Oryctolagus cuniculus: one gene and its partners. The protein of the gene in region 1 purifies or fractionates together with the protein of each later gene. This does not show direct contact. Links are inferred from orthologs where the notes say so. Each region holds a gene or a part of one and is shown in the gene's direction. Other genes may lie near its edges.

What was found.
Region 2: the proteins of LIN7C (region 1) and PALS1 purify together in Homo sapiens (affinity purification with mass spectrometry; 3 studies listed by BioGRID and IntAct, counting the BioPlex papers as one, with this or other methods). This does not show direct contact. The link is inferred for Oryctolagus cuniculus from reciprocal best matches to the Homo sapiens genes LIN7C and PALS1.
Region 3: the proteins of LIN7C (region 1) and ARHGEF26 purify together in Homo sapiens (affinity purification with mass spectrometry; 3 studies listed by BioGRID and IntAct, counting the BioPlex papers as one, with this or other methods). This does not show direct contact. The link is inferred for Oryctolagus cuniculus from reciprocal best matches to the Homo sapiens genes LIN7C and ARHGEF26.
Region 4: the proteins of LIN7C (region 1) and DLG1 purify together in Homo sapiens (affinity purification with mass spectrometry; 4 studies listed by BioGRID and IntAct, counting the BioPlex papers as one, with this or other methods). This does not show direct contact. The link is inferred for Oryctolagus cuniculus from reciprocal best matches to the Homo sapiens genes LIN7C and DLG1.

Annotation. Positions count from the first base shown.
Region 1 is NC_091432.1:38,877,728-38,885,797, forward strand, and holds the start of LIN7C (protein lin-7 homolog C), read left to right. Parts: upstream 1-2,803; 5' UTR 2,804-2,868; coding exon 2,869-2,905; exon of another isoform or gene 2,906-6,604; coding exon 6,605-6,723; exon of another isoform or gene 6,724-7,638; coding exon 7,639-7,710; exon of another isoform or gene 7,711-8,070. UniProt on the Homo sapiens protein: Plays a role in establishing and maintaining the asymmetric distribution of channels and receptors at the plasma membrane of polarized cells.
Region 2 is NC_091451.1:13,184,139-13,191,446, forward strand, and holds the end of PALS1 (protein PALS1), read left to right. Parts: intron 1-1,779; coding exon 1,780-1,956; 3' UTR 1,957-4,739; downstream 4,740-7,308. UniProt on the Homo sapiens protein: Plays a role in tight junction biogenesis and in the establishment of cell polarity in epithelial cells.
Region 3 is NC_091435.1:126,757,637-126,764,944, reverse strand, and holds part of ARHGEF26 (rho guanine nucleotide exchange factor 26), read left to right. Parts: intron 1-4,832; coding exon 4,833-5,042; intron 5,043-7,308. UniProt on the Homo sapiens protein: Activates RhoG GTPase by promoting the exchange of GDP by GTP. Required for the formation of membrane ruffles during macropinocytosis. Required for the formation of cup-like structures during trans-endothelial migration of leukocytes.
Region 4 is NC_091435.1:83,755,660-83,763,511, reverse strand, and holds the start of DLG1 (disks large homolog 1), read left to right. Parts: upstream 1-2,617; 5' UTR 2,618-2,985; coding exon 2,986-3,073; intron 3,074-3,515; exon of another isoform or gene 3,516-3,546; coding exon of another isoform or gene 3,547-3,565; intron 3,566-4,214; coding exon 4,215-4,346; intron 4,347-7,852. UniProt on the Homo sapiens protein: Essential multidomain scaffolding protein required for normal development. Recruits channels, receptors and signaling molecules to discrete plasma membrane domains in polarized cells.

The DNA of each region.
Region 1 (8,070 bases):
CAGTCCTATCAGAGCCCTAGGTTAATCATTACCTCTATTCCATAACGCACAGTTGATGGAACCAGAGCTGAGTATTCAATCAAAGGTAGCAAACCCATGGAATGACTACAGTTCCTAGGATTCAAACATCTGATAATGCAAATTAATAAATCTAACAAATGAAAATTGTTTAATAACTAAAAATTACTTCAAACCTAGTAAGTCTGTGCTTTCAAACATTCACATAGTTTTTGCAGTCAAGATTTTTAATATCCTTTATGTCCAAATCCCGAAAGCAAACATTTCAAATTGAAAATACAAGGCTGTGGCTGATGTTGTGGCTCAGTGAGTTAAGCTACCACTTGAGAAATGGGCATCCCACATTGGAACACTGATTCAAGTCCTTGCTACTCCACTTCTAACCCAGTTCCCTATTGATGTGCTTGGGAAGAGAGTAAGTAGACCAAGTACTTGGGCCCCTGTCTCTCTTTTTTTTTTTTTTTTAAGATATTTTTATTTTTTATTTGACAGGCAGAGTTTACAGACAGTGAGAGAGAGAGACAGAGAGAGAAAGGTCTTCCCTCCGTTGGTTAACCCCCCAAAATGGCCGCCTACGGCCGGCGCTGCACCGATCCGAAGACAGGAGCCAGGTGCCTTCTCCTGGTCTCCCATGCAGGTGCAGGGGCCCCTGTCTCCTAAAGTGGGAAACCTGAATAAAGTTCCAGTCTCTTTGTGGCCATTTGGGCACTGAACCAGCAGATGGAAAAATCTCTTTTTTTTTTTTTTTTAAGATTTTATTTATTTATTTGAGAGATAGAGTTACAGTGAGAGGGAGACAGACAGAAAGGTCTTCCGTCCATTGGTTCACTCCTCAGGTGGCCACAATGGCCGGAGGTGTGCCAATCCGAAGCCAGGAGCCAGGAACTTCTTCCAGGTCTCCCATGTGGTGCAAGGGCCCAGGGACTTGGGCCATCTTCTACTGCTTTCCCAGGCCACAGCAGAGAGCTGAATCGGAAGAGGAGCAGCTGGGACTAGACCCAGCGCCCAGCGCCCATATGGGATGCCGGTGCCGCAGGCAGAGGATTAACCTACTGTGCCATGGAGCTGGCCCCATAAATAAATCTTAAATAAATACATACAAGGCTAATAAAAGTTGAAGATTTCAAAATATATTAAACACTATACAATATTCTGGTTATTAATTTTATCATTACGTTTCATTTTTATTAAAATTTATTCTTTTAAAACATCAAATAGCATTACAAGGTTTACAACTAAATAAAAATAAAGTGTTTTATCACCCTCTGTACTTTCCATCACTTTGTGGTATGCAGTTAATCTATTTTGTATTCTATATTTCCTTCCTCATCCAACATTTTAGATTTTTAGTATTAATAATTATTTCATTTACCCCCATTTGCTTAAGTTTCTATGTGCTTGTCACCAGTTCTTCCCTGAACTCTCCACTAAAACTGTTTGTGTGGTATCAATATGGTCACCCATGGAGCAAGCTGTTTGGGACACTGTACCCCATATTAGAGTGCCTGGGATCCAGTTTCCTCCTAATGCGCCTAGTAAGCAGTAGATGATCGCTCAATTACTTGGGTCCCTGCCACCCATGTGAGAGCCCTGGATTGAGTTCTGTCTCCAGGCTTTGGCCTGGCTCAGCCCTGGCAGTTGTGGGCATTTAAGGAGTAAACTAGAGGGCAAAAAAATCTTTTTGTCACTTAACTTTTCAAATAACTAAACAAACAAAACTTTAAAAATAATCATGGCCAAGGGACAGGCATTGGGGCACAGCTTGACACCTGTATCGGATCTATGAGCACTGGCTGAGGAGAGTCCTGGCTGCTCTACCTCCCATCTAGCTTCCTGCTAATACATCTGGGCAGTCAGAAGATGCTAGCATAAGAACTTGGATCCTTGTCACCCATATGAAGTTGTGGGAAACCCAGATGAAGTTCTGGCCTTCTTGGGATAGTGAACCAGCAGGAAGAAGAACTCTCTCTCTCCCTGTGTCGCTCTGTCTTCAAATAAAGAAAATAAAAATTTTTAAAAATGGTCATCCACATTGGTGAATTGCAAATTTCATTTTTTTTTTCTTGGTGACATCCCATTTAGTCTTCTGCCCTGCTCCAGTGTGACTGAGCCACCACTCTGCAAGCCATCTGCATGGGCTCCCCTGAAAAATGCTGATAATTAATTTGCTGTGTCATTTTGACTGTTACGGGATGCTCAGATGCTAGGTCAGTGAGGCTGTTTCTAAATGACATTAGCATTTGAATCAGTAAACTAAGATCACCCTCATTGATGTGGGTGGGCATCATCCAATCAGTCTTTCAGACAACTGAGATATCCATCTTTTCCGAATTCCTTGTCAGGACTGCACACTCGGACTAAGATTCACAACACTAGCTTCCCTGGGCTCAGGCCTTGGAGTCTGGATTGGAACTACATCCCCATCTTTCCTGGGTCTCCAGCTTTCGGACAACAAATCTGCACAATCACCCGAGCCACTCAATCCCTCAGGGTAAGTCTCTTTGTACGTAGCTATTTATAGTCTTTTGGTTCTGCTTCTCTGAAGCCGTTTCTCTATCCTAGGTGAAGCCAAGGGTTTCAAGTAAGAGGTATGAAACCTGTACCAAGGTGTTAGAGTTGGGAAAGGGGCTTTTCTTAATCTTAGTTGGTCGACACCAGAAGCTAAGGAGTGAAGCCTACCTTAAACTCCCACGCGCAAATACACCTACACTGGAAGCGCCGGGAAGCACCTCGCCACCCGCCTGCTCTCGCGATACCCGCTAGTCCTCGCCCTTCCGGCTCCGGTAGGCCCCGCCCCTGCCTCAGCGCCTCTGTCGTCATTTCCTGTGGGTCTGCAGGCTAAAAGAGAAGATGGCGGCGCTGGGGGAACCTGTACGGCTAGAAAGGGGTGAGTGCGGCCAGGGTCCGGACGGAGGTGGGTGGAGGGTATGTGAGAGTGCCGTGTCGCTGGAAGTGAGGAGGGAAGGTCTAGGTCCCGAGATCCAGAGCCAGGCCGTCCATGGTGTTGGCGCATGCAACCGTCTACGTCGCTGTGCGCGGCTCCCGGGAGTGAGCTTAAGGTCTTTTGATTGATATCCAGCCCCGCTCTGTTCAGCACGGACTGTCCGGGTGTTTAGCACTGTTAAACACAACCTTGCCCGCGTTCGCATACAGGCACGGCACATGGGCTCCATGGGTGGCCACAGCAGACGCGGCATTTGGAGACCTGTAAGCTCTAAAAGCAAACGTCACACGCTGTGTTCCGACCGACTACACTCGAACCCATGCACGCGCAAAACCCCGTGTCCCCGCCTTCACCCACATATCACACACTTAGCAGACACGGCACCTCCTCCAGTGCCCCGCTTAGTGCACAAACCGCATTGCTTTCACCCCAGCGTCACTTGTGTTTGGAAACTAGCTTTGCTTTTCCTTTCAGTAAAGGAGAGGATGCTTTAAGAACGATGCTACTGACTTGATCTTGGGAAGTTTATACAACTAGATGGAATAGTGAGTGACACTTGCAGGTGCCATGTTATGCTTTCTTTACAAACACTACAATTGCAAACTGTGGCAGGTTGATTGCTTCTTAGATTGTGAAGGAAAATAAAACCTGTTCCACTGAGTAATGTAGAGAGGAATCGGCCTGTGAAAATACCCGACTCTGCCCCTACCAGCTTCCTGATACAGATTTCCAATATTCCACTCCTGCATCCTCCTCAAATCGTTTTTTTCAAGCAGATTTTAAACACAACAGCATTAGAATCCTTGAAAATAATCAAGAAGTACAAGGTAAGTATTTTGAATACTGTTGGGAAACAAAGCATAGAGTGGAAATTGAAATTATTTTGCACATTGTCACATTTGGTCAAATTTGCAGTTATAGTTATTAATATCCTCTAACAACAATATACATTTTTAGAATTATTGTACTTCTGTCATATCATCCCACAAACAAATGTGTACTTTCAATTGTAAATTTACTCCTTATGGTGTTCACCATTTGGAAGCCTCTTTGTATATGAGATTGTTACTGTTCAGCCCACCAGGCTGTTAATTAAAGCAGCACTCTATGACAGGGGCGTAGCTAGACCTAAGACTGTACATCTTCCTTGCGAATGCAATGGCATTGTGCTTTGTAGATAGAAACAAATCTGTTTGGTGTTAACAGGAGGAGGTATTTTTCTATGAAAGGTGTTTGTAGGATTCTAAGTTAGCATATTTTTGTATTTTTAAGTACAGTGCAAAATGTGTGACAGAAATTAGAAAATACATAGAGCCTCTAGCTCATGTGGAAAGAAATGTGATATTCATTTTGAATTTATAGTTGTTAAACACTTTTGAACTTTTCTATAGAACTAAGGGCCAGAAGGTTTTCAGGGGCAGTAAATCTTCATACTCTAAAGGCAAACTTATTTTTTTAATTTAAAATTAGTACCAAATCTGGTGTACTGTTTGGAAAATATTGTTTTTAAATGAGATTTTAAAAATTGATTCCACAGTAAATAGAATTTTTTAAATGTATTTATTTATTGGAGAGGCAGAGTTAGAGAGAGAGAGGAGGGGGGAAAGGTCTTCCATCCATTGGTTCACTTCCCTAATGGCCACAACAGCTGGAGCTGCGCTGATCGGAAGCCAGGAGCCAGGAGCTTCCTCTGGGCCTCCCATGTGGGTGCAGGGGCCCAAAGACTTGGGCCATCTTCTACTGCTTTCCCAGGCCATAGCAGAGAGCTGGATCAGAAGTGGAGCAGCCGGGACTAGAACTGGTGCCCCTATATGGGATGCCAGCACTGCAGGTGGTGGCTTTACCCGCTACGCTATAGCACTGGCCCCAATAGAACTGTTAATATCATTTTTTTTTAATTTTCATTAATCATATTTAGAAATAGAATTAAATTTTTGTGTATTTTGAAATGTAGAACTCCATTTCTGGAATTAGTGATGATTTTGTGTTTTGTTTTCCAAGTTTCTATAGTTCTACAATAGAATTCTCAGCACTATAGTAGAAATAAGTTAGTAGTGGTTCCATTTATCAAGATGAAGTCAGATTTCATCAACTTGTATGTAGAATTTTATCAGAGTCTACTAACAAACGCTTGCAATAATCTTATAAAATTAATGCCTGTGATCAAGATCCCAAGAGCCCTCTAAATCATCAAAACGTGATTCACTAGAAAACGAATTTGAGTACTTATCAGATACATTGTAGATTTAGTAAAGGGTGTTCTACTTTCTTAAATTTTTTTGTTAATTTAAAATTTTTACATGGCTCATGTGTTATAACTTTGCAAATAATTGGTGAACCAACTATCTCCATTATTAGCCTTTCTGGTGGTAGGAAATCATTGCATTTGATAAACATCAGTGTAAGATTTTATTATCTGAAATTGAAAAACCACGTTCCTTCTTTACTACATGTATTCATAATTTTCCAGCTGCAAATACAAAGAAGGCAATATTCTATGAAGAGGACTCTTCAGTCCTTAGGTATAACATGAAATTAGGAACTTCTTCCATTTCAGTCAGGACACAGGAAAGGAATAATAGCCAATACTCTGGTCCACTGGGGTACAAAAGCAGTTCAGAAAAAAAAGTCAGAATAGAGGTAGTTATAGTATTGGAACATGAGTCTGACTCTGAAACTTCTGAATTCGTAAGCATGTATCCTCACACTTCCCAATGAGAACTGACCGGCATGCTTAATGCATTTGCATAAATGTATTCAGCCTCTTAGTGTTGTGAGTAATTGGTGCCCATATAATTACATTTATGCATGCTAGGCCCTTTTTCATGTTGTTGTTTGTTTCAGTCATCAAGTAACTCTTAGGAAAATACAGTTGTCTCCATCTTACAGTACAAAAGAAACTGAGACACTGAGACATTAAGTGGCTTGCCCAGTTATATACAGATAGTGTTGAGGTGAAATTGGCAGTCATAGAGTTTTTATTTTTCTATTTTGTAAGCATGTATTTGATTGAACTTACCTGAATTAATACATTGATCCTAAGTTGAAAGCAGAGCAGTTAATTTTGTTTGTACTGTTTTAATCGGCTCCCTACCATTAACTACACCTGTTAATGAATATTTTGCATCTACATATGTGTCATGTTTTCAGTCAGGAATTGAATAGTGATTTCACCAGCACAAGGAAAATTATCCTGTTCAATGCTTTGGATGCTAATAATTTTTATTGACTAAATCATTCCTGGTAATGTGAGTACTGCCAGCTGTTCTGAAGCAGGACAGGCTCTATCACATTTGAGCCCCAGTCCTTTCTGGTGATATTCAGTTTTTTATTTTCAATTTGCCTATCTCAAAAGATTCCATTTCCTGGATTTTCTACCTTTTGCAACATGTATTTTTTCCTAATGTACTCTAAAATGTGGCATTCTCAGATTTTGCATTCCCACCTGCCATGTACGTACTTAGCCACACAAATCCTCCCCATATATGTGCATATGCACACTTTCCCCCTCTGTCTTCTATATATTTCTTGTTAGTCCTTGAGAAATGAATACTGTTCCACTGTCACATAGGCATATAGAGCATATAGAGAATCCTTGGAGAAAATTATCTATCAGTTTTTTTTTTTTTTTTTTAACTTTAGATATTTGTAGAGCAATTGAATTGTTGGAAAAACTGCAGAGAAGTGGGGAGGTACCACCGCAGAAACTCCAGGCTTTACAAAGAGTCCTTCAAAGTGAGTTCTGCAATGCCGTGAGAGAGGTAAGTAAATGTGATTCACATTTACTAAAATTTTGAACTGATTAGCCTCTGGAATTGGGGTGCAGAATATCCTTTTTTTTTTTTTCTTTTTTAAGTTTTTTGTTTGTTTGTTTGAAAGAATGACAGATGAAGAAAGAGAAATAGATCTTCCATCCACTGGTTCACTTCCCAAATGGCCACAATGGCCGGGGCTGGGCCAGGCAAAAAGCCAGGAGCCAGGAACTCCTTCCAAGTCTCCCACAGAGGGGCAGGAACCCAAGTACTTGGGCCATCTTCTGCTTTCCCAGGTGCATTAGCAGAGAGCTGGATCAAAAGCAGTGCAGTTGGATGGATGCTCTGAAGTCAGCATTGCAAGTGGTGGCTTAACCTGCTGTGTCACAATGCTGGCCCTGATTTCAGAATTTTCTTAATAAACTTTAAAAATAGAGTGGTGGTATTAGAAGAGAGATTAAGATGCTACTTGGGATGCTCACATCCCATGGTGTAGTACCTGGGTTTTAGTCCCAGCTCCACTTCTGGTTCTAGCTTCCTGCTAGTGTACTCCTTGGGAGGCAACAGATGATAGCTTGAATTCTTGTGTTCCTACTATCCACATAGAAGACCTGGATGGAATTCCTGTCTCTTACCCTTCTCCTGGCCCATCCTTGGCTGTTGGGGCACTGGAGGAGTTAACCAGTAATGGAATATCTGTCTCCATCTCCCTCCTGCCCCCTACCCCCATTTATCTCTTTCTCTCTCTCTGTCTCTGTCTTTCAAATAAGTAAATAACTTTTATAAGAAATACTAGAACTTGTCCCTCTCAATTTTGGAATTTCGAATCAGATATTTTACAGCACATTAATTGACTACAGAAAGAACCCAAACATAGTATAATCTGAGGTTTAAAATCAAATATGATAACCTTTGGTTTTACAGGTATATGAACATGTCTATGAGACTGTTGACATCAGTAGCAGCCCTGAAGTGAGAGCTAATGCAACTGCAAAGGTAAATTTTTTCATTTACAAAAGTAAGAACTCCTTATAAATTACATGTTTAAAATATGTGATTAATAGATTCATAAGCTTATTTTGAAAACCAATATACAATATCTTTAAAACTACACAAAATATTTCAGGTACTTAAAAATAGAATACATTTTTTAATTGGCTTATAGGATATTTTATCATGAAGGTAATGTACTGACAATGTACTTACACAAATATTATACACATCATGCAGAAATAATATATTACCCATGCGTAATTAATTATGCAGACTTTCATCAAAATTCTGAGTTATGAATTACTGAACACATTTAATGGTAAAGAAGCAATATTTATAGATTACTTGCCTAAAATCACATAA
Region 2 (7,308 bases), on another chromosome or scaffold:
TTTATCTCCTTTATTTCTCATGTGTTTTATTACTCACATGATTGAAATGTTGAATGAAAACAAATCTTCCATTTTAATTATGGAATTGTGTTAAGAAAGTAGTGTAATTGGATGAAAAAGTGTAACTACTCATTCAGTTACCTAATTGTGCACTGAATCTATTCAGCTGGTGCAGAATCTTGAGAGTGGTTAATTGAACAGCATAAATTGATGGTCAATTTTGGCTGTTATTTTTGGTTGTTTTTTATTACAAAATATTTTGAACTAACACATTTTACTTCATCTTAGTCTTAGATTGTAATTTGGAAGAGAAATTCAGACAAAGTACTAAATAAATTGTGATTATTTTAGCATAAGATGAAGTAATGCCTTGAATTTGATTAACACTAGGTGGAGTGGGGCTTAGCATTTACATTTCAACTCTAGGACCACAAATTTTCTATCCTGTGGAGTCTTATAATGTTCTTTCAATAATATTGAGCTTTGAGTACACATAAATTTTAGCTAAAATGTCAGTGTGTTCAGTTACAATGGTGAAGTAGAGCCCCTGCTAAGGAACAAAGGATTCTGTGTTCCATATTCAGATGCGCAACATTCCAGAATGAAAATTAGAGAGCCATGTGAGAAACTGCCTCAGGACAAGCCAGAGTTGTCTGATCTTTTCATACTGTCAGAGGAGTTCTGTTGAATGAATCAAATTGTTTTGTCCTGTGGATTCAGTACAGTATATGGCTTACACCTGAGACATTTGGTCTTTTTTTTTTTTTTCCCCCCAAAGATTGATTGATTTGAAAGGCAGAGGTAGAGAGAGGGCTTCCAATCTGCTGGTTCACTCCCCAAATGGCCACAATGGCCAGAACTGGGCCAGTCTGAAGCCAGGAGCCAGGAGCATCTTCGGGTCCCCCACGCAAGTGCAGGGGCCTAAGAATTTGGGCCATTCTCTGCTGCCTTCCTAGGCCATAGCAGAGAGCTGGATTGGAAGTGGAGCAGTAGGGTCTCAAACTGGCGCCCATATAGGATGCTGGCACTGCAGGTGGCGGCTTTACCCACTATGCCACAGCACCAGCCCCAGACATTTGGCCTTGAAGTTAATTAGTTATCTTCCTTGACAGGTGATTTGGGGGCTGTTTCACTTTCTTGAGTAACACCTATGCCTCAAAATCAGAGGAATTTAGTTAAGTTTTGCCTACAGCCTTGCCACCTGGTTGGCTCTGTGAACTAGCCCTTCCCTTTACTCTGTATTTTAAATAGAGTACTCTGTTCTGCATAGTTTCCTAAATTGGTAGGTGGTTTTTTTTTTTTTTTTTTTTTTTTTTTTTTTTTTTTTTTTTTTTTTTTGCCTTTTAACAACTTCATTTGTGTTTTGAAACACAGCAGCGAGTGTTTTCCCCAAAAGTATATATTAGTTTGTTAAATTTTGGGCTAACCAGCCATGTTTTCATAGAAAAGAATACCCATTCTTTAATCCTTTTCTTTTCCCATGGTGTTTTCTCTACCTAACTCTGCCAGATAAAAAGAGCAGGGGTCTTTACAAGATCCAAGAGTAGATGATGTTTTGGGTCCTTGCTCCAAGCAGAAGGTCCATTCCAGGTTACAAAAGATGTTACTTTGGGGAAGAAATTATTATTCCCTAAAATGTTTGAAAACAAGTTTGTAGGGAATTCACAGTAACAGTCTGCATTCTGTGATGTAAGTCAGCCTTTGTTCTTTGGCTCTGACTCATCCTATATTTTGGTAAAGAGAAGAGTCACCTCACAGATTTTATTCTCTTCTTTGCAGCCTGAGGAGTTGAGAGAAATCATTGAGAAGACTAGAGAGATGGAGCAGAACAATGGCCACTACTTTGACACAGCAATTGTGAATTCAGATCTTGATAAAGCCTATCAGGAATTGCTTAGGTTAATTAACAAACTGGACACTGAACCTCAGTGGGTGCCATCCACTTGGCTGAGGTGAAGAAACATCCGTTCGGCAGCATAATTGGATTGGATCTGTCAAGCTGTCAACAGGAAGATATCCTGATACTTCAGCAAGATTGAAGATAAGGTGGAAGGCAGCAGTGTAAGCTGTAGACCTGGTTTTCATCCTTACATCCCTTAAACTAGTGAGGAGAAAGTTCCCTTAGGCAACTGTGTGCACAGCTTTCTTCATTCTCTGCAAATGGCTTTTTAAAGGTTCTTGCCTCACTTTGGGATTCTAAATGGAAGCTTTCAACACAGCAGTTCCATTTTACCCTCTTAAAACCTTTTGTTTTCACCTAAATCTTTTCTGCTTGGCTATATTTCTATAAAAAAAACTTGTATGTATGTACACAATAGTCCATGTCTCATGTACTTATAAATATTGATGTCATTTAACACTTAAATGACTTCATGGGAATATTTTGAAGGGACTGTGCTTTTCTGCATTGGGCAAAAACAGTATTGGCTTAGGAGACTGGTTTAGTGAAAAGAACTTTCCTGAAAAAGAAAAGAAAAAACAAAACGGTGGCACTCTGGTTTGGAGCTACTTTGTTTAGGCTTGAATTTATTTGTATTGTCTTTTTCCTCTAACAAAAAAAAAAAAAAAAAAAAAAAAGAAGCATTCTGTTAGAAGCACCAGCTTTTTAACCCAAGCTTAGTGGCTCAGACTGCACCCCCAGCAGGCTGTAATCCAGTTAAAGGCTTACAGATTATGCTGATCTTTTATAATTTGATTTTTCTTAAATTATTACAATGATTTGATAGCCTCACTTCCTTTCTTTGATCTGCATAGTACAATAGACTATTAGATTTTTATGAATGGCATTAATATAAAACTGTGTTGACTCAAAGTTTCTTCCTCATGATGCAAATAGTTTTTTATATACATGGGAGGACATAACACATTTGACCATTTTTGCATTTTTATACATGAGCACCATAAAAGTCTATGGCTATGCTATGTATGTAGGTAATAAACTGGAATTATGTTGATGAATATAGCTGCTGTACTGTATACTAATTTTAACAGATCGATAAATGGTCATTGATAACACTTGTTCAGCATTGGAATAAAATTTTATATACATATATATCTTAGGGAAATACTATGACAATTGACTTTGAGATCAGAAGGAAAGGAAGACCTGAAAGTCACTTGAACATTTTAGGAAAATAACATTGTGAGGGGGTGGAGGGCATTTCTTAAGCACATAGAAATGAGTTTTTATCCCAATAAGGTGTGCCTGTGATGACAAGAATGGAACAGCTTGCTAAATCATAAAAGCAATGTTTAAGCTAATGGGATTTTTGTACTGTCTGTGTAGTTATAGCTCAACATTTATTACTGGCATGGAAAGTTGTAATCTTTTCAGGCCTTTAAGGATAGTGTGTGTGACAAACCTCAAATGTGAATGTCTTGATTTTATTTTTATGATGACTTTAGCTACAGCATTTCCTGCTCCCAAGCTAAACACTGGAATATACTGACTTATCACTTAATTTAACATAAGTAGTTGTTTGTTTTTAATGAGTATTTTGTTTCAGTGTGATGTATATATTTCATTTTTTTTCTCTTCCATATAATTTTATTTGAACAAATGTAAACAGTTATATGTTGCCTTTTTTGTTCACATTTGCGTAACTTAAGTTGGCTAGAGAGTGTGTCTTATTTGGAAATATTTCAAGATAATGTTCCTTAGGAAGAAAGTATCCTGGGGTTGAGGGAAGGAATATCATATATATGGTCTCTTCAAATCTGAAACACTCCAACTTAGGTCAGGAAAATACAGTGGTCACACCAGTGATTGGCTTTGAAAACCAAGGCATATACTTAGCACTTAATCGTCTCAGTTTTCCAGCTTACATTCTCTAGGAGTGATAGGTAGTCTGGCCAGCAGAATTGTCTGATCTGCCTTGAGTGTAACTGATAGGTGTTTTCAGCAGTCCTGGTAGAGTGAGGTTTCAGGCAGTCAGTGAGCGGCTGTTGTGCCCCAGCAGACAGAGGGGCTTTACTAGGGCCAAGTGCTATCAAGACTCAGACACACGGCTTTAATAAGCAGATTTTATACCAAGGTCCCTGCCATGCTATGCTTTTGGGAAGTACAAGGTAACATATTTTCAGGGTCATTAAAGTAATTCTCTCCTTCCATTGCATAGAAGAAATGTCTGTGTCTCAAACTTTTTCTAAGTGATATGGATATGCTGATATTCAACACAACCCCTAAACAAAGTGAAAACCATTGTTGCTGCCTTCCTCAAAAAAATGAGGATAAAAGCACCTTGTTGTGTACCTAGTTGTAGAGCAGCTCTGGCCAGTTCCATTTCCTGTCCCTCTATGGTCTTGATTGGAGAGCCCTGTGCAAGGGGGAATCTTAACCACTGACAGAAATGATACTAATAGCTAAGAAATATACTTGGAAAATCCAAATAAGGAAATAGCTTCATTTCCAAATTTTCGTTAAGTCAGAACAAATGGAAGGAGAATAATATTTAAACTAATCCAGATTTGCTTTCTATGAAAATCTAATGTCTGGATTGTTCCCCTTTTTTCATGTTCTAAGGAATAAGTAGTGATAAGGAATGATTTGAATGTAATTTTGCGAATGTGTGTGGAAATATAAACCAGGGATTTAGCCTTAATAAAGGTGACCTTTCTGGCATCTGTTGTTAATCTGCCTTCCAACTTCTTGCCCTGCATCTGCACTCTTGTTATTTCGAGATGTCATACTACATGCTGTATTGTACAAATAAAAGGAAAAATATATTGCAAATTTTAAAGCCACCGAGTTCGTTCTCTAGCTGTTTATGTCCTCTCCCACTCAAGGTTTCTACACAAGTGAAGACACCCTCCTCTTCAGATTTTGGCCAGAAGCAAGACCATCAGATGCTCTGAGGTGGGAGAGTAGGGGGGTATTTAATTTGTTCTTTATGTGGGGCATGCCCCCTCTTGGCACAGACTTAAATAGTTACTGTTTCTCTCTTGGTTTTTTTTTTAAGATTTAATTATTTATGTGAGTGGCAGAATTAGAGTTAGATATAGTGGATGTCTTCCATCGACTGGTACACTCCCCAAACAGTAGCACTGAAGCCAGGAACTTCATCTGGGTCTCCCATGTGGATGCAAGGCCTCAGTGCTTGGGCCATCTTTCGCAGCTTTCCCAGGCACATTAGCAAGGAGCTTGATCGGAAGTGAAGCAGCTGGGACTTGAACCAGGGCTCATATGGGATGCTGGCATTGCAGGCAGTGGCTTAACCCGCTGTACCACAACACTGGCCCCACAGTTTTGTTTGTTTGTTTGTTTGTTTTATTTTAAGATTTATTTTATTTATTTGAAAGAGTTACAGAGAGAGGTAGAGACAGAAAGAGAGGTCCTCCATCTGCTGGTTTACTCCCCAGGTGGCCACACAGCTGGAGCCACGCCAATCTGAAGCCAGGAGCCAGGAGCCTACTCTGGGCCTCCCACGTGGGTGCAGGGGCCCAAGGACTTGGGCCATCTTCTGTTGCTTTCCCAGGCCACAGCAGAGAGCTGGATTGGAAGTGGAGCAGCCGGGACTAGAACCAGCGCCCAAATGGGATGCCAGCGCTTCAGGCCAGGGCATTAACCCACTGTGCCACCGCACTGGCCCCTCTAATAAAGTTTTAACAATTAAAAAAACGAGGGCCAGCAAGGTGGCACTTTGTGTAACTCAAATAAATCTTAAAAAAAAAAAAAAAAAAAAAAAAAAAAAACTTTATTAGAGATGGACAGCTTAAGGCTATGAAGCCGAAAGGTTTTTGTGGGAGGAAGAATGTAATACGTGGACAGATTTTACCTCAAAAGCAGCCAGGGACTTGAGAACACTGAGGATAGCATGATAGTTGTTGAAAATATACAACTTCAGCATATTACATGCCTCTATTCATATCCCTTTTTCCTACACTACCACTCTGAGGACACAAATCATACTCAGACATACCTTCTTCACCCCAGTCCAGCTTTCTATTCCCGTTCCTGATCTGGTCCCTCCCCTTGGGATCAGATTACTTCGACTTCACACAGCAAATTACCTGTCTGGTGTTTGCTCTTGATTTCATTTTAACAAATGCTAAACTGGGGCTGGTGCTGTGGCGTGGTGCATTAAAGCCCTGGCCTGAAGCACCGGCATCCCATGTGGGCTCCGGTTGTAGTCCCGGATGCTCCTCTTCCCATCCAGCTCTCTGCTGTGGCCTGGGAGGGCAGTAGAAGATGGCCCACATCCTTGGGCCCCTGCACCCATGTGGGAGACCCAGAAGCAGCTCCTCCTGGCTCCTAGCTTCGGATCAGTGCAGCTCCAGCCGTTGCCACCATCTGGGGAGTGAACCAGCGGATGGAAGACCTCTCTCTCTGTCTCTACCTCTCTCTTTAACTCTGTGTTTCAAATAAAATTTTTTTTAAAAAATGCTAAACCATAAGGGCATTTTCATAGGCAATTTAACCAAAGCCAATAAATATTAGGGCTTTTAAAAAACCACACGGGAAATCTAAAATACTTTGGCCCATGCTTTAAGGTGAACAATGAATTTACCTAAATGAAAAATCACTAAATAATCTGTCTACCCCCTCTCACCTTCAAACTAATTTTGCTTCCTGGAAAAGCAGTATATAATGCTTGACATGAATTTTAGCTGTGCTGTTTGACCTATCCAAGCCTGTTTCCCTAAAAGTTTCCTGTAAAAACAGGACACAATTTATACCTCACCAGGATTTTAGCAGGATTAGATGTTAATTCTGTTGTTAACTTAGTTTTAAAATATTTGTGAACTTAGTTGTTCAGCTTATAATTACTATTAAATATACAATGTGAGATTTAATTCTGCAAGTAACAACAGCATTTCCTGCAAATCAGCTCCTCCAAGACAAGCCCTATCTTACCTTTAAATATCCAAAGTCTCCAATATAGGGGAAGCAAGAAAAAAGTTGAACTTCTATCTTATAAAAACTTTGAAAGCAGACTGCTTTGAATTAAATCCTGGATTTACCACGTTACCTTTTGAAGGTAGGACCAATTACTCAAGCTCCTTGAGCCTCACATGGTTATTAGATAATATCAATGAAATACTTAAAATAGTGCTTGGAACATAATAATTAATGTTACTTTAAATAGTAGTATAAGTGTATGTGGGGCCAGCGCTGTGACACAGCAGGAAAAGCCACCAGCTGCAGGGCTGGCATCCCATATAGGTCAGCTGCAGGGCTGGCACCCCATATAGGCACCAGTTCGAGACCTGGCTGCTCCACTTCCGATCTAGCTCTCTGTCATGGCCTGATGGAAGATGGCCCAAGTCCTTGGGCTCCTGCACTCGCACAGGAGACCTGGAAGAAGCTCC
Region 3 (7,308 bases), on another chromosome or scaffold:
ACTATTCACAGAATGATGTATGGTTTTTCTGCCCATGATGTGGGCTTGCGTAAAGTAGAACCAAACATTATTAGAGCTGCTTGATGTTAAATAATATCTTCAGAGAGAAAAATAACTGAGATGCATGTTAACCGTCATATCCTGTTCTCTACTGAGAATTCTTCATTGTGTTGAAAAAGGAAAGAAAAAAAAATCACAACAAAGGTTACTAGGACTTTAAGTGTGTTCCATCAGGGAGACCCATGATTGTTTACACCATGGAGCAAGACTTCTATAGATTTGGTTTGATTGCTGCACCTGATAGGAGCCGCTGCTTGCACACAGCAGACAGCCTTGATGAGCAGCTGGTAAGCTTGGAGCACATATAAGACAATCAAAGGAAGTCTCCATATAAACTTCTCCATGCAAGGAAAGGTGGTTTTTCCATTTGCCTTTTTCTGAGCAGTTTAACTTCCTAATTACATGATCCAAATTGTTTCAGAGACTATGTAAACCATATGTTTGTTAGATGATGGAGACAAACGTGGGGAAGTCTGATTAATATCAGCTTCCCTAGGAAAGAGGTTGCTTTCCCAGCCAGGTTAGCGTGCCCTGTCCTTACTGGATGAGGGTGAGCGTGGAGGGGAGGGAAGTGGGCTGTAAATAGCTCATTAGGGCTATCTTCTCCCCACCGCTTCTCAAGCACACATTTTAACACAGTGTTGGGCTTCTGAGTCAGGATGAGAGAGATGGTTGAATGCTGGCCGGCATTAGAAGAATGAGTCTCATTCAGTTTTTAGCAGATTCATATGGGGAAACAGTCATGGTTATTTTGAACCTTCATGAGATAGTGTTTGAGAGTCTGTGTGGGAGAGAAAAGGCACAAGAGTTAGAGAGAGTGAGCTAATTTTCAGGTTTTGTTCCTTTGGGTTTGAATGGTAGCTTACAGGGATAAATAATCAATTTACCTCACTACTGTTAAATGGAATCAAGTTTTTTATATATATATATATATACACACATACAAATATATAACTATGTATAGTATATATATCTATATACACAAATATATAACTATATATATAACTATATATAATATGTGTGTATGTGTGTGTATATATATATATACACACACACACACACACATACATATATTCCGTAAAAGAGTAGGGAAGGGATTCTAAACAGCTACATGGTTCATTTCGTGGTGCAAAAGTGTGCTGGCCTAGATAAAATAATGATATCTTATGATAGAAAATAAATCACCTAAAAAACAAACAGGCCAATGTGTTCACTGCATCATATTTTAGTTGCAGACAGTGGGCACAGTTCCTTGATCAAATGACATGGCTCCACAGATGTGTGGGAATAGAAACCTGAGGGGAATGCACATGAGCACCGTGGCCACAGTTGATCATCGAAACTGGACTTGGGAGAGGACAGCAGCCACACACTGAGTCCGATGACTGCCCTAGCCCTTCATCAGTGGCATCGTAGTAATAAACTACTCCTTTGTCTTTGATTACCACAAAGGACAAAGATGCAAAACAAGGATGAAATATACTCCCTAGTGTTGTTTGTATTTAAGGAAACACAGGGGGAAATTGTGAACTCTGAAAATTAAGAGAGGCAAGAAAAAGACTTACCTAGTTTATCCATATTAGTTTATTAAAGTTTCCTGTGAACTCTTTCTCTTGAATTGAATTGGGAATGACTTCATAGGTAAAGCCACATTATGCTGAAGACTCTTAGGAACTGGAGTCATCTTGGATATGACTTTTCTTTTAAAGATTTATTTATTTTATTTGAAAGGCATAGTTACAGAGAAACAGGGAGAGACAGAGACTGAGAAAGACATCTTCCATATTCAGGTTCACTCCCCAGATGGCCCTATCACTCAGGCCTGGGCCAGGCCAAAGCCAGGAGCTTCATCCAGGTTTCCATATGGGTGGCAGGGGCCCGCAGACTTGGGCCAGCTTCTGCTGCTTTCTCAGGCCATCAGCAGGGAGCTGGAACGGAAGTGGAGCAGCTGCGCCCATGTATGGTGCTGGTACTACAGGCAGCAGCTTCACCCACTGAGCCACAGCGCCAGCCCCAGATGACTTTATAGCATATGCATTTCTTTGGAAATACCTATGGTACCTATGCAGTGTACCTAAACACCCATGTTCACAGTATTAGATTACTTAGATTTCTCAGTCTGCTGCAGAATTATAAGTAACAGCTATCCTTGACTAACAGGTCATCTCTTTTGACCTGTTAATTAAGAGTAATTAGGAGGTATAGAGAGGACCGTCACATGGAAGCCTGAATCTTCTTTTTCTCTTGTTCTTGTTATTGAGGTTATGCTTTTTATTTTATTTTCTTTTTACATTTTTATTGTTTGTTTTTATCCGGAGTCTTGGGCTGTTAGTTGAATTTCTGAGACATCTATTCAACCTTATCAACTTTTTTTTACTGTGCTAAAAATGACTTCTTTGTTTCTAGTAAACGTGGTCTCTTTAAAGCATAACCATTTTTGTTTATGAAGTGTATTATCCTGCTTCCTCTTTGTATAAACTCCATGTGCTCTTTGATAAGTCTCATTTTGGATATGAGAAGTAGTTTATATATCCTGGGTGTGGATGTGCTAGTCTGTGGACAGTTTCAGGAAAGGTTTGTAAATTATCTTGTCCTGTGAATTTTCAGGTAATACAGATTATTACCCTAGAAACAAGTGAAGGTGACTTTTTTGCTGTTAGCTGTGTTTGTTGTTTTGTGATGGTAGAATCTGTGAAAATAAATTTCAGAAAGGAGAATTACAAAAGAGTGACTGACAGGCAGATTTCCAGCCTGGAATAAAAGAAATAGCAGGAAATCTTGAACAAAGTAGCTGGTTCTGAAATCCTAGTTAGGTATGACTGGGCATAAGGATTTTTCTATCCCCTTAGCTCCCCTGAGCCCATACATTTGAATTTATTGTTAAATAAGTTAAGTAGTTATTTGATTCCTAGAATATGTTAGAATTTATTACATACCCAATCAATCTATTCAACAATTATTTATTAAGCTCTGCCATGTTTAGCTGCAAGGGTACAGACATGGAAAATAGAGGGATAGCTGTATCTAACCAGGTTTGGGATTTGCCAGTCAGGTATAGCCCAAAAGTTGAGCATGTATGCCAGGAGTGATTAGAGCTAAACACCAAGAAATCCAAGCTGGGCACTTTAGTGTGTGTGAAGCAGAGGACATGATTCATAAGGATAGAGGAAAAGGCAGGGTCAATGACTGCAGGAACTAGTAGGCTACATAATTGTTGGGGTTGGCATTTAGAGGACTTGGTTTGTAAAGTGGGATGCAGGTTAGGAAGACGTATGGTTGTCACTGGGATTAGAGAGAGTTCTAGCTGATGGCAGTGACAAGATGTAGAGGATGATCGTGAATGGGATTACTGATAGAGGGCAGAGAAAAAGATCATTAGAGACTGAGAAGCCAGGGTGATGGAAGGAGCTCCACATAGAAGGAAACAGTGTTGGGGGTTGGCATTGTGGCGTAGTGGGTAAAACCACTGCCTGCAGTGCCTGCATCCCATATGGGTGCCAGTTCTGATCCAGCTCCCTGCCAATGGCCTGGTAAAGCAATGGAAGATGGCCCAAGTGCTTGGGCCTCTACACTCACGTGGGAGACCCAAATGAAGCTTCTGGCTCCTGGCTTCAGCCTGGCCCATACGGTCATCAGGAAAGTGAACCAATGGATAGAAAGTCTCTCTCCCTCCTCCTCCTTCTCTCTCTCTCTCTCTCTCTCTCTCACTCTCACTCTCACTCTCACTCTGACTTTCAAATTAATTAAAAAAAAAAAAAAAAGAAAACTTGAAAACAAAAAACAAAAAACCCGAAACAGTGCTGGAGAGATGGTGAGCCAGCAGCTACACTCATGAAAGGATGAGGAGTGGTCCAGGGGCTCTGTGGATGATTGTGATTGTGAGACAGGCTTATGGCTTGAGAGTCAAAGATAGGTCTTTTGGGCATGAGGAAGTGATCACTGTCAAGAGGCCAGAATGAAAAGCAAGCAGGCAGAGAGCTGTTGCCCTCCAGGAAGAGCCAAGTTCCTGTTAGAAGGAATGTTATTGGATGGTGAGGTTAAAGGAGGGTTCAGCAAAGAGGCTGAGGATTTAGATGACGTTACTGGATTCTCTAAGGAAATGCATTGCTCGCGGACGCATTGGAAGAGGTCAGGAACCAGCTGAGGCCAGGTGAGACGTGTTCACCAAGCTATGGGGCTGAGGGTCCTGGGGCATGAAGGGTGCTGGGGGTCCTAGGATAAACAGGGAGAGAGAATATGATGGGATTAGTCCTGGAGGTTTCTGAAACAACTGCAGCTGTTGGGTGAGTGTGGGAGAGGAAAGGTTGGGCCTTCTTCCCTTTTATGCTTGGTCCTCTGGGGCAGAGAGTGAGGCCTTGATACCCAGGGCATTGGTGGGCCTGGAGCTTCCTCTTCATTCTCTGGGTGGAGAGGTGGAACCGGGGAGGTGTACACCTGCCTGTTCAAGCACTTCCAGGATGCATGCAAGTCTTACTTGTAACAGCAGTTCCAAAGTGATGCATCACGAACCAGAGAGGGTTTTGTATTTTTTAAAATATGCTTTCGTACCTGAGATGCAGTTCCCATATGTTAAAAACATAAACATAGTAATTAACTGGTTTAATTGGTATAGAATACATTAATTCCTAATCAGTAGATTCCAATTCATATTTTAAAGTCATTCTATCCTGCTCCTTTCCTTCCCCTTTCACCTTCTCCCTGAAAATTAGTTGAAACTGACAGTGTCACAGTCTTATGTGTAATTGACAAGTTCTTTTCCTTTTCTATTTCAGTGAAGAAAGTTACAACGTCAACGATTATTCCTTAAGAGATCAGCTGTTGGTGGAATCTTGTGACAATGAAGAGCTTAATTCTTCTCCAGGAAAGAACAGTTCCACAATGCTGTACTCAAGACAGAGCTCTGCCAGTCACCTCTTCACTCTCACTGTCCTTAGCAACCATGCCGGTGAGAAAGTGGAAATGCTGCTAGGGGCTGAGACACAGTAAGTATCTGCAGGAGAAAAAAGGTTTCAGAGTATCTGACGTCTGTCTCCTTCACCCAACTGCCTCTGGTGTAGATGCCCTAAGAACAGCAGCTACTGTTTATTGCTGTCCAGTAACATGCACGGTGTCTGGGTGCTTCAACCAAGTGTTGTTCATTTCACTGGGAGTTTCTCAGTACCACAAGAAATGGATGTTGTTATTTCTGTCCCTGTACACATTGTGTTTGGTGTGGTTTGTAGAGTGATTTAAATTTCTTTTTCTTATGATTAAAAAAAAATGAAATCCACCAGCCTTAAGGAATATGACTCAACTGGTAGTTTGACTCATCTGAAGTCATGTCTCAATCGCCTATTTTCAACCAGAAACAGAAAACCCAGTGATTTCTGCCATGAGAAATTCAGTTTGAGGAAACATACTCATAAATTCTCTTTCCAATCTTGACTTTTTACAGAGGCAAACCAGGCATCCTGTTTGTTCTGGTAGCTTCACCAGCAGTTACAGTACAGTCATTTCCCACACTGGGTGAGAGGAAGAGGGTTTAATTTTGAAGCCACTCTAGGAATTTGATCCATTGAGAGGTGATGGATTTACCTGTTTGAGAACTGACATTGTGGGGAGGTATTATGTTGAGCCAGAGGGTGGGGCAGTGGGTGGAAAGGAGAAGCTCCTAAATTTCTTGTCATCTCAGAGTTCCTCCATATATCTCTCTGCATGTCTGTGAGATGCCCGGCATGGCACACATCCAAGGCCAGGGCTGAGGGAAGGCGTGTCTTCAACTCAGAGTTGTTTAAACGCTTTGGCTAGTGAAGACAGACCTAAACCTCCTTTGTTTGGGAAAACCTCTCTTCAAAAATGGAATGTATGGGGCCAGCATTATGGTGCAGCAGGTTAGGCTGCTGCCTGTGATGCCAGCATCCTGTATCAGAGTGCTGGTTCAAGTCTTGGCTGCTCCACTTCTGATCCAACTTCCTGCTAATGTACCTGGGAAGGTAGTAGATGATGGCCTAAGAATGTGGGCCACTGCCATGCATGTGGGAGACCAGGATGGAGTTCCTGGCTTCTGGCTTTGGCCTGACCTACACCAGACTGTTGTGGCCATTTGGGGAGTGAAATAGCAGATGGAAGGTCTCAGTATCTGTCTTTCTCTGTGTCTCTTGTTTGCTCTTTTGCTCTACATTTCAAATAAATAAATCAACCTTTTAAAAATGGAATTTACTATGTCTGAGCTTTGGATGTTCTGTGAACTTAAGGAAGAGAAAATCTTAAATACTTTGGAGATCAGTCCTTGTCCAAATGCCCTAGAGAAGTCTCAGAAATGGTGGAAGTGTTGTTGGTTTTTGCCTCGTGTCTTCCTTTGCTCACTGTTTCCAAGAATTGTTTGTTTTTTATTCAGGCCTTGCCAACACATCAGCAGAGCTTTTCCTGACTGTCTCATTCATTACTGATGTGATCTTGACAATTTGTTTCTTAGGTTCTTCAAAGGAGTGAACTTCCATGTCCACTGCTTCCTATACCAAGGCTAGATTTCTTCTTAGGATGCTCTGTAGCCATCGTTCAACCCCCTTGCCTTTTGATCTTACTGTGGACTGAATGGGTGCTCATTTCCTCAATCAGACATGTTGTTAGATTATTCAGTTATGTCACCTGTAAAACCATAGTATGATTCATATTTGTAGGTCTCTAATAGCAAGAGAAATTCCAGAAGGGCCAGGGGAGCAGAGGTCTCTGTGGTACAAAAGGAGAGACTCTCATTGTCCTTGATCACCCATCCCTGCCTTCAGTTACAGTTGAGAAGTAAACAAATGGACATTGCTTATGCGACGTAAAGCAGTATTGATGTTGAAATAAAAAAAAAAATTCTCTTTAATAGCCTAGCAATTGGCTGTTTACTCTGTTTGGAAATATGCAGGTCAACTCTGGGCTACCTGGTATTGAGCATTCAGAGTTTTGGTCTGTGTACAGTATCTTCTACGTCTAAGATTTGTGAATGTTTAGATTAGTGTATGTGTTTTAAGTTCTCTTTTGCTTTATTTGGCTGATATAGTCCATCATCAGTCTGGTTGGGAAAACAAGATTTTCACTGCCACTGTGGACTGGAGAAAATGCAGAGCTTTAGACCAGCCATATGTAGCCTTTAGTCACTTTTTCCTTGACCTGAAAAAAATGGGGTTCACACCTATGCATTTACTTTCTTTCAAAAAAAGTGTTGCCAGCAGAGTATATTCCTGGGAATATTTGAAATATAAAATGAGTCATGGGAGGGGT
Region 4 (7,852 bases), on another chromosome or scaffold:
TTCTCCTCACCCAGGCCATAGCAGAGAGCTGGATCAGAGGTGGAGCAGCTGGGAGTTGAACTGGTGCCCATATGGGATGCCGGCACTGCAGATTTTAGCTTTATCCACTATGCCACAGTGCCGGCCCCATGCTAAGTTTTAAGCTACTCAACTTTGGGGAATCTGTTCTGTGGCAACCAATAACTCAGACAGATAGAAAGGAGAGTAAAGAGTAATGATGCTTCCCACGTGGCCAGAACCTTTCCTGGCCCTAAGTTCGGGCTAGTGTGAGGTCCAGTCCTGCTTTTGGGCACTCCTGACAACTGAACAGGGTAGTCACAGTAGATGACTTGATAAATAACATGCCCTATTTTTCTCCTCATCCTCACACAATTTGTTTTTGACCCCTTTTCTGGCTTCTGGGAAAGTTGTACTGGCTTTTGTTTATCAGCCATGAGATTGTGGATCCTTGAGAACAGATCCTGTGTCTCATTTCTTTCTCTCCCCATTGCCTAGCAAGCGCACACGTGAGAGTATTTTGAAAGATTTGTGAAGAGAGAGCATTTGGTGTAGTGGTTAAGACCCACTTGGAACAGCCCCATCCCATATCAGAGTGCATGGGTTCAAGTCTTGGCTCTGCTCCTGACTCCAGCGTCCTGCTAATGCACACCCGGGTGGGCAGCAGGTGATGGTTCATGTATTTGAGTCCCTGACAACCACATGGGAGACTTAGATTGAGTTCACTGCTCCCTGCTTCAGCCTGGCTTAACCCCAGCTGGTGTTGGCATTTGGGGAGTGAACCAGCAGATGAGAGATCTCTCTCTACTCCTCCCTACCTCTCGTCTTTTAAACAAATAAAATAAATAAAAATTAGTTTTTAAGAAAATCAGAAGATTTGTGAAAAACAGAAGTAAAAGATAAGCTTATTTGGCGTAAACAATTTTGAAATCCATGCAAACAAGGGTCTTCAAAAAGTTCATGGCAAATGGGTATTATGAAAATGTGCAAGTATCATTTTTGGCATTACAATGTTTTAATTCTATTTTCCATTAATATTTTGGAAGCACCTTTATATGTGAATCATGAGTAGTATCAAGGGTTACAGCAAACTTTCCTTCCTCTTCTCTCATATTTCAACACGACGCTGTCAAGTTCTCCAAAAGCCTGGTGGAAAGAGCCCTGGCCTGCAGAGGGAAGCCCCGAGTTGTTGGTCTGCTCTGTCACCGAAGAGCCTGCGTGTCCTCGGGCAACTTGCTTCCCCTTTGTGGAGCTCAGTCTCTTCATCAAGACCGAGAGAGTGGGTCTGGATGATCTCTAGTGTGTTCGGCGTCTCCCCAGTTAGGATTCCAAGGTGCATCAGAAAGTGAAACCCAGGGGTCAGCAGCGCGGAGCCGCAGCTGCGGTTACGGTACGAGGCTCCCGGGACTCCCCGTTATTAGCCAATGGCCACAGTGTGAGGGGAAGGCAGTCGGGTTCACCGGGAAGAGTGTTCCGGTCAAAGGACAGAAATCTCCCGGTTTCCAGCTCTGTCACTAACTCTGGTCAAGTTTTCCTTCGGGACCTCAGCGCAGGGAGGTCCCGCTTCCCCAGAAGAAGCGGAAGACCTGGCAGTGACCTGGGGAGCGCTCAGTACCTCCCCTTCTGCCGCCCGCAGGGCTCCAGCGGGCCGGCGGTTCCGCTCCGAGGTGCGCGAGAAAGTTGAAGGGCGCCGGGCCGGCGGAGGTGAGGTCTTAAAGGGGCCTCCAGAGCCTGAGCCACGCCTGAGGTGCTGGCTGGGCGGGGACGGCAGGCTTGGGGGGATGAATGCAGGAATGAGCCAGTGAACGAGGAACCTTCTCTCGTCACCCTTCAGTGCGCTCAGACTTGGGACCCAGACCTCAACTTAAATATCCTCTATTGAAAGCCTCAAACTCGTGCCACATTTCCCGGTCTCCCTACTGCGCATGCCCTTCTTTAATGAAAAAGTCTCAAACCTTTAAAGTGGGGCGCATAATAACTTCTAGACAATCAGTAGGACGGGGAAGGTGGCCTGGAGAGGGCACCCCCGCCCCTCCCCACCCCTCCTTTCTCCTCTCCCAAGCGCCGGCTACCCCGCCCCCTAACGTGGGTGGCGCCGTGGGCTCCTCCCCGAGTGGGGTTTGCGCAGTTGAGGAGGCACCCCGGCGGCGCCAGGCGCCCTGTCCGGTCGTGGAGTTGGGTGGAGCACGTGTTTGGTCAGGTTAAGGGGTGTTTCGGCATGTGCGTTTGGGACCCAGTGTAGATGGGGTCGCGTCCGTCTTCAGAGACCCCGAGCCTTTCCAGTCCCGCACGCTGCACCTCCAGAACCGCGGGGCACACGGTGGGGTGCAGCGAGGTAAAGGGGCAACCCCGGACCACCTGTAGAGTCCGTGTGTCAACTCCTTTGTCCTCCGAGCCTCTTGGGCGGCCGCCCCTTTAAGCGAGGAGGTTCACTCGGGATGCTCCCCGGGCCCCCCTTCGCGTTCCCCAGCCTCCTCCCGGTCCTCCTCCCCTTCTCAACCCTAAGGTAGCAGTGCTGAGAGCCCGGGGCTGGGCGCGAGCCGCCTCCTCACTTCCCATTGGCTGCGAGCGCCGGGAAAGCGGTCACGTGGCAGCGCGGCAGTCCAGCTCCGAGGCCGCCATCTTGGCGGAAAGTTTGGGGGGAGAGCGACCGGGGGCGCGGAAGGAGGCGAGGTTCCGGGGGTGGGGCGGCCAGCAAGCGAGAGGGCGAGCGGGTTAGCTGGCCGCGGCGTGTGAGGAGGCGGCGGCTGCGGCGGCCGAGGAGGAGGACGAGGCAGCGGGGGTGCGGCCGCCGAGGGGAGCTCCTCCCCCGTCCCCTCACCCCCTCAGCTCAGCTCCTCGAGCCCCGGGCGGGGCGGGGGTACGTGGAGCCGGGCTGGGCGGGGGAGCTGCTGCGACTCGGCCCGGAGCGCACCCCAGCTCCGAGTGCACGCCGCTCGCGGGAACTTTGTGGCAGCGCCGCAGGTGTGGGGGCCCGCGGAGGTGTGCATGTGGGGCGCGAGGGCGTCGCGGAGAGCGGCCGCTGCCCTGTCCGGACCCCGCCGGAGTAGCCCGGAGGAAACAAGCAAGGAGAAAGGCAAGCGAGAGGAGGGGGCTCGGGCAGGGCTGGGTCCCTTTTCCGAGCGCTCGGTGCCGCTGGCGCCCTAGGGGCCCAGGGTCGGAGCGCCCCTATACCCACCGCCCCCGGGGGCAGGTGGGGAGGCGGCCCCTCGGCCTGGCAGGTAGTGTGCTCTGTAAGGTGGGGGGAAGCTTTTGTAGAGAACTGGGAAGCCGACTTGATTGTCTGGTCTTCATTGGCGGGGGGATCCACCCCGAGGAGAACGCTTTCTACCTGGGCTGACACTGCTGGGTTTTGAGGCTGTTCCTTTCACTTGGGAAAACTTTGGAAGGGGGGCTTTGGATAATAGGGCTTTTTTTTTTTTTTCGGTTGGAGATTTAACGAGGAAATGCTAGTTTCTGCTCGATTCTATTTTTCAGTTTTGTTTTGTTTCCTCTCTTTCCGTTCTGTGTTTGCAAAGGTGTGTGCGGGCTTCCTGATTCTGGAGAAAAATGCCGGTCCGGAAGCAAGGTGAGGATTTATTTCAGAACACTCTTGTGGATGTCAGTTTTGTGATTGCTGTGTTGAAAATCTTTGTGTAACTTTGACGAGACACTGTGGAGCTAGTGTCATTGCTTGGGGAATCTAAGCCTCACATCATTTCAAAGATTGACACCTGTTCAACTCTTCTTCCTCTAGTAAATTCCAGAGGCAGTTAGTCCCGCCCCCCCCCCCGCCCCTTTAAAAAAAGCTCTGAATTGGTTTTCAGTATTTCACTTTATCACTCTTAGTAAACACTATTGGGTGAGCAGCTGTGGGATGCTAAGAGTAGTATTTTGAAACGCTTAAAATTTGAAGTATAATGACAACTTGTAGATAATCTGCTTTTGCTTATCAGGTAATCTGAAACGGTGCTGCTAATACTTGCATCAGACACTCTCACTGTGACAGACTAACAGTACATATCTGTTATACACTGCTTCCTTCCTTCCTTTTGCTACTGGGATGCATGTTCCAACAGTTTTCTGATCATTTTGGAGAACAGGTGTACATGAGCATTTTGCCGTTGATTGACCTAGAGAAATTGCAGAACTGCTCAGATGCCTTGCGGAATCATGTGCACTAGCATGCAAAGTTTGTAAATATGTATACACTTTTAATCAGTCTCTTCTTTTCTCAGATACCCAGAGAGCCTTGCACCTTTTGGAAGAATATCGTTTGAAACTAAGCCAAACTGAAGACAGACATCTCAGAAGTTCCATAGAACGGGTTATTAACATATTTCAGAGCAACCTCTTTCAGGCTTTAATAGGTAGGAATTAAAACTTTATTTGTGACCGTATGTGTCAGCTGGTTATGCTCCTCTGAGTTCAATTATTTAAACTTAAGAGAATGATATGTACTTGATTTTCTATGTGGCAGTTTGAACATCTTCATGGTTGATGATGCTTATCATGGTTAGGCTAGTATCCTTTCTAGAATTATCTAATAACCAAAAATAATCCACTTTAAGTAGAATTATTTCAGTCATTTTGAGAACAGTGTTTCATATTCTTGCATTAGCTAAAAGATGGAGAAGTTGCAGAAAGTTTCAGGACTCAGAAAGCAGCGACGGAATCATTAGCAGCTTATTTTCTGTATTTGATTTGTATTTCTCTGGCATCCTTAGGAATATTTGGGTGTTTCTGCTATGTTCAAGAATATTCTCTTAATATAGGACTCTGTGTAAGCTTGGCATTTATGGAGCCAGAAATTTAGATCTGAAAAATGATCTCAGAGATGATCTTTTTTTTTAATAACTATTTTGCAGACAAGAACATTGAAACAGAATTTTATTCATACTAAAGATTGAGGTGGTGTATTGTTTTAAAGGAGACTGGATAAATAGTCAAGGCCCCAAATTCAGTTCTTGACACTACCATTAATTGAATGATATTACACATGTTTTTTAACCTTTTCTAGAACTGTAGAATGTGAGTGGTGAAATATAACAGTGGGTTTTAAGTCTTTTTTTGTTAGGTAACTAGATCCTTTTTAAAAACAGAATTGTGTGTTTTGTATACACTCCCTGTTACATAAAATGTAGTGATAGATAAAGTGGCTGGGATATCTCTAAAAGTTTGCAAACCACTAAACTAGAAAATTTGTACCAGGGGCCAGCGCCGTGGCTCACTTGGTTAATCCTCCGCTTGCGGCACCGGCATCCCATATGGGTGCCAGGTTCTAGTCCCAGTTGCTCCTCTTCCAGTCCAGCTCTCTGCTGTGGCCCGGGAGGGCAGTGGAGAATGGCCCAAGTGCTTGGGCCCTGCACCCGCATGGGAGACTGGGAGGAAGTACCTGGCTCTTGGCTTTGGATCGGCGCAGCGCCAGTGTGGCAGCCATTTGGAGAGGGAACCAATGGAAGGAAGACCTTTGTCTCTGTCTCTCTCTCTCACTGTCTATAACTCTACCTGTCAAATAAAAAAAAGGAAAGAAAATTTGTGCCTTTCAGTTCTAAGAATAAAATTTTAATTTTGAAAAAAAAAAAAGATTTATTTATTTATTTGAAAGGTGGAGTTAGAGAGGCAGGGACAGAGAAGTCTTCCGTCCACTGGTTCACTCCAAATGGCTACAGCAGCCAGGGGTGGGCCAGACTGAAGGCAGGAGCTTCATCCTGGTCTCCCACGAGGGTGCAAGGACCCAAGGATTTGGGCCATCTTCTGATGTGTTCCCAAGCACATTAGAAGAGAGCTGGATTGGAAGTGGTGCAGGTGGGACTGGAACTGGTGCCCATATGGGATATTGGTGCTGTGGGTGGTGGCTTAGCCCTCTATGCTACAGTGCCAGCGTCTTAAAAATTTATCTTTTTAATTAGTCATTGACTATATAACATTTTAAAATACAGAGACATAGACTTCATGGTGTTAGAAATATTTCCTCAGTAACTTCCAAGCAGATATGGTCTTATGTTTTTCTATTGATTTGAGGACTACCTTCATTTCGGTGTTTCCTGATAACTTATTGATGAATTGATGTTTCTGGTTTATTTTAGAATTTTTTTTGAATTTTTAAATAATTTATTTACTTGAAAATCAGAGTTACACAGAGAAGGAGAGGCAGAGAGAGAGAGAGAGAGAGAGGTCTTCCATCTGCTGGTTCACTCCCCAGATGGCTGCATCGGCCGGAGCTTCGCTGATCTGAAGCCAGGAGCCAGAGACTTTTTCCCAGTCTCCCATGCAAGTGCAGGGGCCCAAGCACCTGGGCTGTCTTCTACTACTTTCCCAGGCCACAGCAGAGAGCTGGATTGGAAGTGGAGCAGCCGGGACTTGAACCAGCATCCATATGGCATGCCGGCCCTGCAGGCGGCAGCCTTACCTGCTGCGCCACAGTGCTGGCCCCTAGAATTATTTCTTACGAAGACTACTTGATACAGCTACTTGGTACACCTGAACAGTTTTAGAAATTTAACATTCTCAAAGACTTTCAAAAACATATATAAGAATAGAGAGCACAGTGTAGTGAACTACCACATATATGTCACCCATCTCAAAACTTACCAATATTTTTCCATTTGTGTTTATATTGATAGACTTTTTTACATTTAAATTTTTAAAATAATCTTTGTCTTTTGAAATTTTTTTTGTGTTTTATTTATTTAAAAGGCAGAGAGACAGATCTCCCATTTGCTGGTACATTTCCTAAATCGATAAGCCAGGAGCTCAATCCAGGTCTCCCATGAGAGTGGCACAGGCAATGGCTTAGGTACTATCTGCCCCACCCACCTAGGTTGCTCATTAGCAGGAAGCTGGAACTAGGAGCAGAGCTGGGACTGGTACCTAGGAACTCTGATAAGGGATGCGGACCTTCCAGTGGTATCTGAAGCATTATGCCAGACATCTGCCTCTGCATTTTGGTTTCTAAGATCTGAACTTTAAGGTCCAAATGGATGACTAAATTTGATTCCTCTGGAAAAAAAAAAAGGGGGGGGAAGGATAATTTTTTAGTTGTTTTATTTAATAGGGTCACTGTAGAAAAGACAGTATGACTTATTTGACCTCAGTTCCTTGTATATCTGGATATAATTTTTATGTACTTCAAAAAGTTTATGGAGAAAGGAATTAAGATAAGTATATTTTGGTGCAAAAAATTTTGCAATTTAGTTTTTCTAGTAGGTCTTTTTTCATGAGCTTTTTTTTTTTTAAAGATATTTATTCAAAGTCAGAGTTACAGAGAGAGAGAGAGAGAGAGAGAGAGAGAGAGAGAGGTCTTCCGTCCATTGATTCACTCCCCAACTGACTGCAACAGCCGGAGCTGTGCCTATCGAAGCCAGGAGCCAGGAGATTCTTCCAGGCCTCCCATGCGGGTGCAGGGGCCCAAGGACTTGGGCCATCTTCTTCTGCTTTCCCTGTCCATAGCAGAGAGATGGATTGGAAGTGGAGCAGCTGGGACTCGAACTGGTGCCCATGCAGGATGATGGCACTGCAGGTGACGGCTTTACCCACCATGCCACAGTGCCAGCCCCTCATGAGGTTTTCAAAGCCCCCTTGTATGCACAGATTTCAAAACTTTTTTTTTTTTTAACAAAAATTTATTTGAAAGAGTTACAGAGAGACAAATACAAAGAGGGAGAGATCTTCCATTCACTAGTTCACTTCCCAAATGTACTCAGTGGCCACAGTGGGGCTGGGCTTTCTGGGCCAGGCCAAGTTAGGATCCTGGAAGCCCATCTGGGTCTCCCACTTGGGTGCCGGGGCCCAAGTGCCCAGGCTCATTAGCAGGGAGCTCTGTTAGATATGGAGCAGCCTCTGCAGCTGGGAATCCCAACCAACACCCATTTGG